2 linked regions of the Schizosaccharomyces pombe genome follow. Changing the gene in region 1 together with any one later gene gives a genetic interaction. Each region holds a gene or a part of one and is shown on either strand. Other genes may lie near its edges. The genes, in order: sre1 and dsc5.

Region 1 (6,084 bases):
CAAAAGACGATCCAACGTGAGTAACAGGTAATTGCTTATCTTTCTCGTCGAGCAGGCCCTTTCGTTTATCCATATTCCGTACCCATCTTGTGCAACTTCTATGAATTTTATCCATTCCCACAAGCCAGGCATCCGTTTCACCTTTCAAGGAACAAAAATCATCAGATAATGTAGTCTTCTGACGATCAAAACCAAATTTTTCACCGGTCCATTGTGAAAGCTTTGCAAAATGTTTGTTCATCTTCAAAGGAGAGCTAAGTTCTTGAATCGACAAATAATAAAAGCGAGTCTATTTATTTTTATTTTAGGTTGTAGGATTCAGAATAAGTTAACCAATATAGTAGTAAATAATACATAAAAACAATTTGGTAGTTTGTTTACCTTTGGTGAATGGTTCGTATTACTCCCGAGATTTCAGTAAGGACGGAACTACGTACTGTACCGTAAAACTTCAGACCACTCTTATCTATCTTATGCATTTCCATTTTATTAATAATTGACATTCTTTTTTTTATACAATTGGTATAAAATGGATATCAGCAGTCTAAGATTCAACACATCTTCATCAACAGCAGAGAGTTAACTGCAAGAGAAGAATCCAATTTTTTAATCTTGCCAATGTGTCATTATTTAAAAAAATAGTTAGTTCGATGAACCTTAGCATGCCTCAAATTGTACTCTATTCATTTTATTTAATCACCAAATATACTCAAATGGTGAATTGTGCTAGCTTGATACAACAAAATAACTCTAATTGCATATTTTTATCACTGCTCTTACCGACGACAACTGTAATTTATTAAAAGAATAATTAAAACTAAAAAATGATACGCAAAATAACTGATGAAATAACAATCATGGAAAATAATAAGGTAGTTGCAATAGATGAGCGTTGTATACTAACTGTTCTCAAAGCTCGAGAATCGACAATTTAAGCTGATGAAACATAACCCAAATCTTCTTGTAAGCGAGATCCAATATCTATGCAAGAGTTGATTAACTTACGAGATAATTTCAAATCTTGAATTTTCAAAGTTCCGATGGCCGTCCGCACGTACATGGCCATCTTTTCAACGACATCGTTTTCCTTTGGAGATGTGCAAATAGGAGCAAAAGTGTTCAAAGCGGTCCAGGAAATAATAAAAGATAAAGGTGTAATGTCTGCATCACTATCAGGTACAAAGATTTCCTGATACATACGTTTAGAAACATCCCCGTATCCAAGGCGTTGGAGTGCTAATGATAGGCATGAGTGGAGTGTGAATAGCTTGGATAAGTTGATCTTTAACACGCTTGACTGCTTGCGTTTATCTTGGCTGCATAAATCCAAAGTGTTCTTGTATGCTGCAAGGACTTCATTCAAAGAATCAGCTGTATTCTCGGGGAACAAAACCAATTTAGCTAGTAAAGCATGACGAATAATAGAGGAGTTCTTAGGACAAAGGGAAATAATTTCCTCAATCTCGGATATCTCAACTTTACGGCTCAAACTTTCCATCAAAAGGGCATCCAACAAATCAGCGGCATACCATGAGGCAAGCACCTCTAGAGGAGATAAAACCAAAACATCAGATAAGGAGCTAATAATACTATCTGACATTTGAGCAGAGTCACGGGTGCACTTTGCTAGAACCCACAATCGCTCAACCATATTCGGAGAGAAAACGTCGTCAGCGTGGGAGTTTTCAATTAGGTTAGCAGTACACTCAGGAAGCTCACGTAACTCCGCGTGTACAGAACTTTTGCTATGTTGTTTCTTTGCAGCATTCCAGAAGAAAGCAACGCACTTCGAAACGATAGCGGATGGGACAGAGGTGTTGGAAAAAATTAGTTGGCAATACATTGCTTGTAAAGCACAAGTATGACTTGAAGGAGGAAGAGAAAATGAACTGGCAAATACCATTAAGAGCCTCAAACGGTCAACTTTAGCATCACCACCCATTAATTGGGCATCCAAAAGCTTTTCCATGTTGCGAACTTCAGCAAGTTGTTGCTCACTATAAACCCAATTCTCAGAGGAGGTATAAAGAGCACTCAAACGATGAGTCAAATAGCCATAAGCAGATTTAAGAGTGAAGATCAGTAATCCAAAAAATAGAGAAATAGTCGAAGTAGAATGGTCCAATAAACAATACTTTTCGAATACGGTTTTTCGGAATAAGATTGAGGATGGTGACATGGAAGATCTGGTACTAACTTTAGATTTCTTTTCACCCTTGAAGCCTTTGAAAAGAGAGTTATCGTGCAAAAGATAGAATAAACCGAGTAAAACAACACCAATTTTCAGCATGTTAAAGAGAACAGTACCTGTGAATGGAGACATAAGAAAAGGTGGAAGAGCGAATAAACCATAAACAGATTGAGAAGAATCGTTTCCAAAATAATTGAATAGACCAAGTCCAACCATGCCATTTAGTGCTGTGCGGCCCATGGTATTTAGGGTTGGGGAAGTAAAAGCTCTTTGGGTTAGGTTTGGTCGAGAAGATTGGTGAACAGAATAGTCAGATGAGGAAACAACATTAACAGAGTTAACGGCTCGAGTATCGTTAGAAGGAGGAGCCATCGAAGGATCTTCGTAGAAAGCCAGCCTATCTGAAAGCTGCTTGTTAGTCTTCTGTAGTTCCTTATTCTTGGCCTCCAAATGTCTGATATACTCAGTTGCTTTTGCCAATATTGTACCCTTGTTAAGCTTACGAGCGGGTGTCAAACCCCCCAAATCCTCATCGTCCAGAGAATTACCACAACGAAGTGCAGCAGCAGCACGAAGTGAAGGAACTGCATCACGCAATTCACAAATTCGGTCGTTCAAGTTGGTTCTGTATCTCTTCTCAATCATGTTATGAGCTGTCTTCTTTGGTTTTCCTCCAGGACCGGCTACAAAATCTGGGGTTTCAGAAGGAGATAATGAGCCTCTAGACTTGGGGGCCGAAAAAGGTAATGTTTCAGGAATTGAGCAAGAATCTTCCGAGGAAGGAGACAACTTTATTTTCTTGGCAGAAGGTTCAGGCTTGCAAGTGGTGTCCATGGGTGTAATAATTTCTTCGGTTTTCAATTTGACTTCTGGATTTGACATATCAGCTGAAGGATAATTTTGAACAGTCGATGGATCGATTGTATCAACAGAGTGAAGGATTTTCATTTGGCGCTGAATTTTATCATCGGCATCGAACTCATTCAATGATGGGCCGGTAAAGGTCTCATTCTGAAATGAATTTGGAGAGCCGCAATTAGAGAGAAGAGGATTTGTAGAGTTTTCTAACGAGTTAGGGGAGCCCATGTTGGTCGAAGTAAACAGAGGAGGCGCCGAGTTCATCGTATTGTCGAACGCAAAAGGGTTAAGCCAATTGCTCATTGATGACTCCATATCAGAAAGGGAAAACGAATGGGGAGACAACGAGGTGTTGGTCAAGGTTGGAGGTGAGTCCTCGACAATGCTAGCCAAATCACACAACAGATTGGAACAATTCTCCACAAAGGGAGTAGAAGTTGAAGCCTTTGTCGATGAAGCCAAAGGGGATGAAGAAGGAATCGCACCCACTGAATTGGGTGATTTGCTGTCAGGCGAAGCTTTTGTTGGAGTTTCCATTGCAGGAGAAGCGACCGACACGGAAACTGACGGAATTGAGCTTTGCATATTTAACAAAATTTCCAGCTAGAACCAAGCGGAATTTAACAGCGAGTTAAAAAATCCAACAATAAAGAGAAATTGAATTTAACTCTTAGGGTTTTTTATCTCTGTGACTGTATAGGATGTTGAGCGAATTTTCTAATCGAGCTACAAATTATCCAAAATTTGACGCATTAAAAGCTATCCAAGGCGATAGATAGCAAAATAATTTCTTGAATGAGTTGTAAAATAAAATAATGTTCTTAGCAAGAAGGAAATCCAGCTTGATAATCGTTTAAGATTAGGTTATAGCAAGAGTCGAGCGCAGTAAACAAACTCTCAGCAACAACCCAATTGTTGTCAATGAACTTATAAAGGCTACTGGACGTCCTATAAGTAAAAAAATTTAAAATCGATCACCCGATAAGCAAAGTTAGGATTGCTCGAGTATGGTAATGGATGAAAGAGAAAAGTCGTGTTAATTCATATGTGAGCAAAAAAGAAGTGGACTGACATGTTTTTAACGAAACGTAAGAAAATAGACGGAATGGGGTGATTCGTTAAAGTATGGTGTGAAAAAAATTCCGTGGCGTATCAAAGACATTTTATAAATATTTAGTGTGCTGTAAACTAAGTCTATCGAAATTTGTTTACAAGAAAAAATAGCGTATTTGCGATAATATGTGAAATCGATATATATTAATATACAAATCTATTTGATTAGATGTTTGTTATTCATAAATTGTTTTTTAATAAGTTCAAGTGTAAAACCATTTCAATCCATAACTTTTCCTTGTAGAGTCATTCCAAGTTAAATCGTAGACGCATCACAAAATGCGTGCTTCGCTTTACTCTTTTTTTGTATATTACTTATCCTTAAATATTCCGATCTACAGCACCTTCATTGCTCTCCAATTTACTAATTTGTTCTTCATCATCATCTTCTTCGTCTGAAGAAGATGAAAGTGGTTCAAGCAAGTCCAAATCTTCAAGTTGGAGTCGACTTCGCAATGGGGGCAGGGAAATATCGCAAACTACTTCGGCATTTAGCAAATCATCAACAACCTCATCCAGATATGTTAATCGGATCTCAGAATTAGTACGAATTCTTAATTTCCGATAATCTCTTAACAGCGGTTCCAACGTTTGATGCACTTCCACATCATCCCATGTAAGCCGAACGTAAAATGCAGCCAGGGCACGTAAATACTTGAATTCAGGAATAGATAGGTACTGTTGAATTATTTCTTTTTCAGGTGCAATTTGTAAAAGCTTGTATAACAAACAGATAAACTCGGTGGGCCGTTGATTTCCATACTGACCACCTATATATTCAAGCCGTACTGCACGATCCACCAATGAACAAGCTAAGATGTATTAGTCAGTGAATTTGGAATAACAGTTTGAGGACTGATTAAAACAGCAAGTACCTATACTTGGTTTCTTTGCTTGCCAAATCAAGTTCATTTAGGCTATATCACTCAAAATATCGATTTGGAAAGTAATCGTACTTGAACTCTAATATGTAAAAACACTTTCCTTTTCTGTCAATGAAGAACACATACCATTCAATCCAAAACATTGTTCTTTCCAGTAAATAGAATCTACTATGCGTTCTCTCAAGATTTTTCCTATAAGGAAAGTCGGCAGCATTTCATGCGCCGCCTCACCTTGAGAGCGATAATCTCTAGCAAGAAAATCAGCCATAGTACCTCATGAAGAGAATGATTGCTCCAACCTTGATGTCTTGACTTGGAGTAAGCTTTTAAGGAGCAGTAGTGTACTGACAATATAAGTGGTCAAGTCTGAAGAAGCATGCTGAGTTTTGATTGAGAAAGGGTTATCTAAAAAAAACATGGATTCGTGAAATATGGAGGAAAAGGGAAAATGCCCGTACTCATTGCAATGAAAGAAGAAAAAGTTGATCTACTAAACAATGCACACTGTGTACACAAAGCACATGAAATTCAAGCGATTATGTTGTTTTAAGCTACTCATCGAGATTTGCCAAACGATATATATTAAATTCAAATAAACGCACGGACATATTATTTATTCATTCATTGTCATGTGGAATCGGAAATTTTTTTTTTGTAAATTTATATACCTAAGAACACATTAACCAATTAAGGAAGATGAATAAAAGGATAAAAAGAAAAATCTTAACAATATACAGTATGCTTGAAAAACACTTTACAAATCCAATCCAAAAAAATTTCTTAACTTACTTTGCCCTACTTTACTTCAAATATCTCTTATGCTTTTACAATGGTAATTTTAAAAAACAATGTCTCTATATTCAAACACGTAATTTCAAAACAGTATGAACTCTCATTAAGGGGACAAAAAAATATAATTTTAATGAAGCCCACCGTCTATTCAATCATTTCCATCTTTCAAAAACCACAAATTTAGAGAGTGTTGACAGTGTAGAAGTCCTCAAGAGCGGTAAGAACACGCTTGGTCATGGTCTTCTC
Region 2 (4,927 bases), on another chromosome or scaffold:
CAAAACATGCACATGCGGTATAATAATTAACTTGTAGTATTTTATTAACAATAGTCAAACATCAAATGAAGGGCTTGTGGCTTTTTATTCAGCTTGGACGAATGGATTCGGTATCTCCTCAGAACCATCCATGGGAGCAATCAAAACTAAAGTTGTTCCACGAACGACTACAAGACCTAACTTTCTAATAGCTCCAGTAAGTTTACCATCCTCAGGATTGCGAAGCTGTTCCTCTACATCGTCAAGTACAAGGTTCATCAACTGATCGAATCCTTTTAGAATACCGGTAATTTGTCGGCCCCCCGTAAACGTGGCTTGAATTCGTTGATCTTGATATCTAGAAAGATCAAGGATAGATTCTTTTCTTGGTCTTTCACTATTTAAGAAAGTTAGCAAAACTCATGATGCTGCTCGTTCCTGCTAGACTTACGTCGGTTGACTAGAGTTACCTGGGCCAGGGCGTTTTTGAAGACTGGACATTCTTTGTATCTAGAATAACCAGGTAAATTATCAGCTATTGCCCAGAAAAGAATAAAGTACAGGTTCAACTTGACGATTCTCCTTTTTACGATGATTGTAACGTGATCGAACGTATCCTTATATGGTTCAATTTGAATGACTTAAGACATAGCAGTAAATGGAATATAAAACACGCTACAGAAAGGAATGTAAAATAAACTTGCTCAGTCTGAAAGGAAATAATTTCACCGCTTTACTTTTCCAATTTTGTTAGAAACGTTGAGAAATTCCATGCTTGGGGTCATAATGCTTGACATAAAGTGAATCTAATGCACTAATTTGTATATTAATTATATAAAAATTTAACATTAATGAAAGTTTAAAGGTAAAATTTAAGCTGTTTAGAAACAAAGCCACTAGACTTTTTCGAATTGCAATAAAGAAAGATTTATATTTTAAACAAATTTATGTTCATAATACATACCTCACTCATCACAGACGAAAGCTGGCAAAACTTTTATGCTACAAAGCCTAAATTACTAGCCTTTGTCCTCCATTGCAAAGAAAATCGTAGAAAACAGAGATGAAGATGACATGCATAGAAAAGGTTTTTGGCAAAGAACAGAAAATCTAGTGGAAATCGACTATGTACTCAGATTAAAGGGTGCATTGAAAGTTTGCTCAAAATAAAAAGTCAATGCGTCCAGTAGACATTCATGCCATAAACAACAATTAATTCAGTAGTAGAAATAGAAAAGAGAAAATAAATTCATCATACATCAAATCTTAGAAATGTATTTAAAAACGGATTCGAAACGTCGATAGTCGTAAATTGTCATTATGATTTAAAAAGACAAACAATTTTGTTAATTTCAATCATCCAGCTCCACCACCACAGTGCCATTTGGAAAGATGGCTTTGTTAGTAGAAATAGCCACTGATGGTTTCAGCAAAGCTCTGGGCAAAGAAGAATATAGTTGAAAATGAAAATCATGCTTATAGTCACTTGGTGGAGTGACCGGATTAGAAGATGAAGTAGCGCGACCGAATTCTTCAGGCTCCTCTTTTTCAAAAAGCATATAATCCACATAGTTGTAAACGGATTCAACAGTATCATCCTTCTTAAACCTTCGAACAGCCCGAGATCCGTCGGGAAAACGGATCGAAAGACGAGCAGGTTCATCTTCAGATGATGGCTCCGGTGGAAGATTAGAAGCAAGCCAAGCACGATATTGTTTTTTCTTTTTCTGAACGATTTCTCTTTCTTCTTTCTCCTTTGCAAGACGCTCTTCTTCTGCTCTCGCGAAAGCTTGACGCTCGCGATCGCGGGCAAGGGACGCTTGATAGGCATTGTCTTGTTGACGTCGTAACTCGCGAGCAGCTTCTCGTGCTTCTCTCTCCGAACGGAAACGCTCAAGAGAAGGAAGATGTTTAGCCAAAGCATTAGTTAGATTGGTAATGATGCTGGAACTATCAAGACATCCATGGAGTTGGGCGGCAACTACAAGCTCAGATAGCTGAGGTGAATACATAACAAGGACTGCGGAGGGAAATTTAGTGCAGTGGAATTGACGAGAACCTCGGAAAGCCTCATCCTCACAAACATCACCAGTCCAGCAAAGAATGTTTCGACGATTTAAAAATTCCTTTAGCTCTTGGTTCATAAGAACACTCCTGGAAAACGTCTCAGAGTCATCATTCTTTGAGCTAGTAAAGAAAAGCAATGCGACTCCATAATTACGCTTAATACGTGTCAACGCTTCCATGTAGCCGCCATCAGTAAAAAAATCAATATGCTCAGTACCGTATTGCTCTTCTAAATTCTGAACCAGCTTGTTCGCAGTGTCTGCAGGAGAAAGGACACGCTTAGTAGTACCAAAAATGGGGATAAATGTTGAAATCAGAGGAACCCTTGACAAAATCATCCATAGTTTGTGCAACCCACTGAATAGCAAAGAAAAAACAGATTGAAAGACGCCGAAACTTAATCCAAGCTTTGAATTTCTATCGACTCTTGACGATTCTCCAGTTAAACTCTCGATCGCTTCCTAATCATAAAACAGTTAGCAAAATGGCTCAGTCCCAACATTCACCGAAAATTCGATTAGAAAAATAAACGACAACCAGAGGATTCCATGAATGTTCAGTTGCAAATAACAACTTTCTTGGAATTTTTCAATCAAAGCAATTGATCACTATCGAATACTGAAAATGAATGCTTGCCGTGTCACATACCTGAACGTCCCAATTAAATGATTCCAAAACAGATTGAGCAGTATCAGCAGGAACATCAAGAGAGTTCCTTAATTCGTCTATTGCTTCTTGTTTTCGAGACCCTGACATGGTAGGTGTTGTTGGTTAATGGACGGAGTAGTATCCATGTGGCCTTTACGTGGTGCTTCGTAACCTTCCTTTTCCCATTACCATCTGAAATCCGGAAGCAAACATTGAACGAATCAAAGTAAATTTTCGAATAAAAATTTGGTTAATTCCAATCTATGGTTGTAAAAACAGAAAACTTATAAGCATAATTGTGACGGAGCAGTATTATCTGGTAAATTGCCGCTGATTTTCGATTTTACCTTACAACAGGCCATTGTGGCTCCTTCAGGAATAAATTCTTTTTTATCTTAAGAATTATATCTTATTTATTTAAAGGAGTTTGTATTTTCTCCTGTAAACTTGAAACAAGTATACCATTTCGCCCAATCCTTGAGCATTCGCAAAAACCATATTAGTGCAATATTTGAGATACTTGCATCTACGTTAGATTTAAATATTGTATCTCGTGCTTAATAAACTGCATATCTGAGAGAAAAATCCTTTTTCTCTTAACCCTATACTATATCCTCTTATAGCTAGGATTTTACTCTCAGTTATTTATTTCTCTATTAAATATACACTCGCAGATTTTCCTTTTTCAAATCTTATATAAAAAATTATTTTTTGCGTCTTTGAGTCATGCATCCCGATCAGATTCGCCAGTTGAGATTACAGGAATCTTCAAACACCCATCCTAATTTAGCAATCCTTTTCATATTTATTGCATTAGCCGCTGTCATTGTTCTTTTAATCTGTCTTTTGTCAGTCATCTTATTACTGCGATACACACGACATGGACGGATCTTGCTGAAAAACACCAATCCTGGTGAGTTGGACGACGAAGCGTTAGAGAATGAACATATTGATGAAGAAGGATTTAGTTTATTGGATGATATGGGGAAAGAACGGTATTTACAAGCTCGTGAGTTTGAGTTGAATTCCATGAAATCTAACGTCAACACGGATGCAAAGCTGCTTGACTTCCTACAAGTTCAAGAGAAGGGCGTATTAGCATGGCACTTTATCCCAAATCAGGAATATAATTGCTATGTTAAAAATAAAACTGAATTGTCTTTTTTGGGCAACGAAGAATGTTGCATGCAAACCAATTTGCCTTTGCAGAGGATCAATGAAGTATACTATTTTGAAGTAAAACTTTTAGACGTACCTATTGATACCTTGGTTTCCATCGGTCTGGCTACCAAGCCATATCCGCCGTTTCGATTGCCTGGTTGGAATTTTTGGTCTACTGCTTATGTGTCGGATGGAACACGCCGCAGTAATTCACCATTTACGGGAAAACCGTACTCCTCTTTCTACCAGCAGGGAGATGTAATTGGTGTTGGTTACAAACCGAAGTGCAATCGGATCTTCTTTACACGTAACGGTCGTCGGTGTGCAGAACTGCCGTGTACATATCGAAATTTGTATCCTACGGTTGGTGCAATTGGACCTTGTACCTTACATGTCAATCTTGGACAAGCAGGATATGTATTTATTGAAGCAAACATCAAGAAATGGAGACTCGCTCCTGCGGTTGGAAGCTTGGCTCCTCCTCCGTCGTATTCTACATCGCAGCCAACTATTAGTTGGGATGCAGCTAGTGAGTCTTCAGCGGGTACAACAACGCAGGGCGATACAAATAGACCCGACAAATCGAAAAATAGGTCACCTCCAATAAATTTTGATGGTACCTCGTATGATGCGGCTGGTAATGTTTTCAGTCCATCATCATCCAACAATCAAGCTTATCAAATGCACTCCATGCCTGCTACCGATGAAGTATAAGGAGTAATGTATAGCTTAGCACTAACAACCTTCACGCCAAAACCAAAGATCAAGTTGTGGAAATGTTTGTGCGTTGTGTTTCAAGTTAGTCCTAAAATCGAGAAATGCACTTTGTATATGAATTGAAGGGGATGTGTTGATGTTCAATGTATTTATTTTCTTTATAATAATTTCTTCAAAATTAGTTATAATTATTAATCTTAATTAAATTTACTCTATGTTTATTCGCTCAATTAATAAAAGGTTATTCACAATTTATTATGATTTTTCGTATAATGTTGCTATTGAGTCTATACTGTTAACATCAACCTTCATCGAATTCCGCTGGTGAGAAGTTTTAACGGAGGAATTCATAGGG

What was found.
Region 2: of sre1 (region 1) and dsc5, extra expression of one rescues a mutant of the other (dosage rescue), as found in Schizosaccharomyces pombe (one study listed by BioGRID).

The regions. Positions count from the first base shown.
Region 1 is NC_003423.3:1,689,378-1,695,461, reverse strand, and holds sre1 (transcription factor Sre1), read right to left. Parts: upstream 4,069-6,084; 5' UTR 3,635-4,068; coding exon 932-3,634; 3' UTR 771-931; downstream 1-770. Other genes in the region: SPOM_SPBC19C2.10 (BAR adaptor protein ), read right to left, coding at 1-241; U4/U5/U6 small nuclear ribonucleoprotein complex subunit PRP38, read right to left, coding at 4,484-4,974, 5,173-5,314; fructose-bisphosphate aldolase Fba1, read right to left, coding at 6,019-6,084.
Region 2 is NC_003421.2:1,813,977-1,818,903, reverse strand, and holds dsc5 (UBA/UAS domain-containing protein), read right to left. Parts: upstream 2,820-4,927; 5' UTR 2,803-2,819; coding exon 2,695-2,802; exon of another isoform or gene 2,508-2,694; coding exon 1,332-2,507; 3' UTR 501-1,331; downstream 1-500. Other genes in the region: U6 snRNP-associated protein Lsm7, read right to left, coding at 85-376, 431-480; SPRY domain membrane protein, specificity factor required for ubiquitination Ear1, read left to right, coding at 3,421-4,569. UniProt on the Schizosaccharomyces pombe protein: Involved in protein degradation through the ubiquitin/proteasome pathway.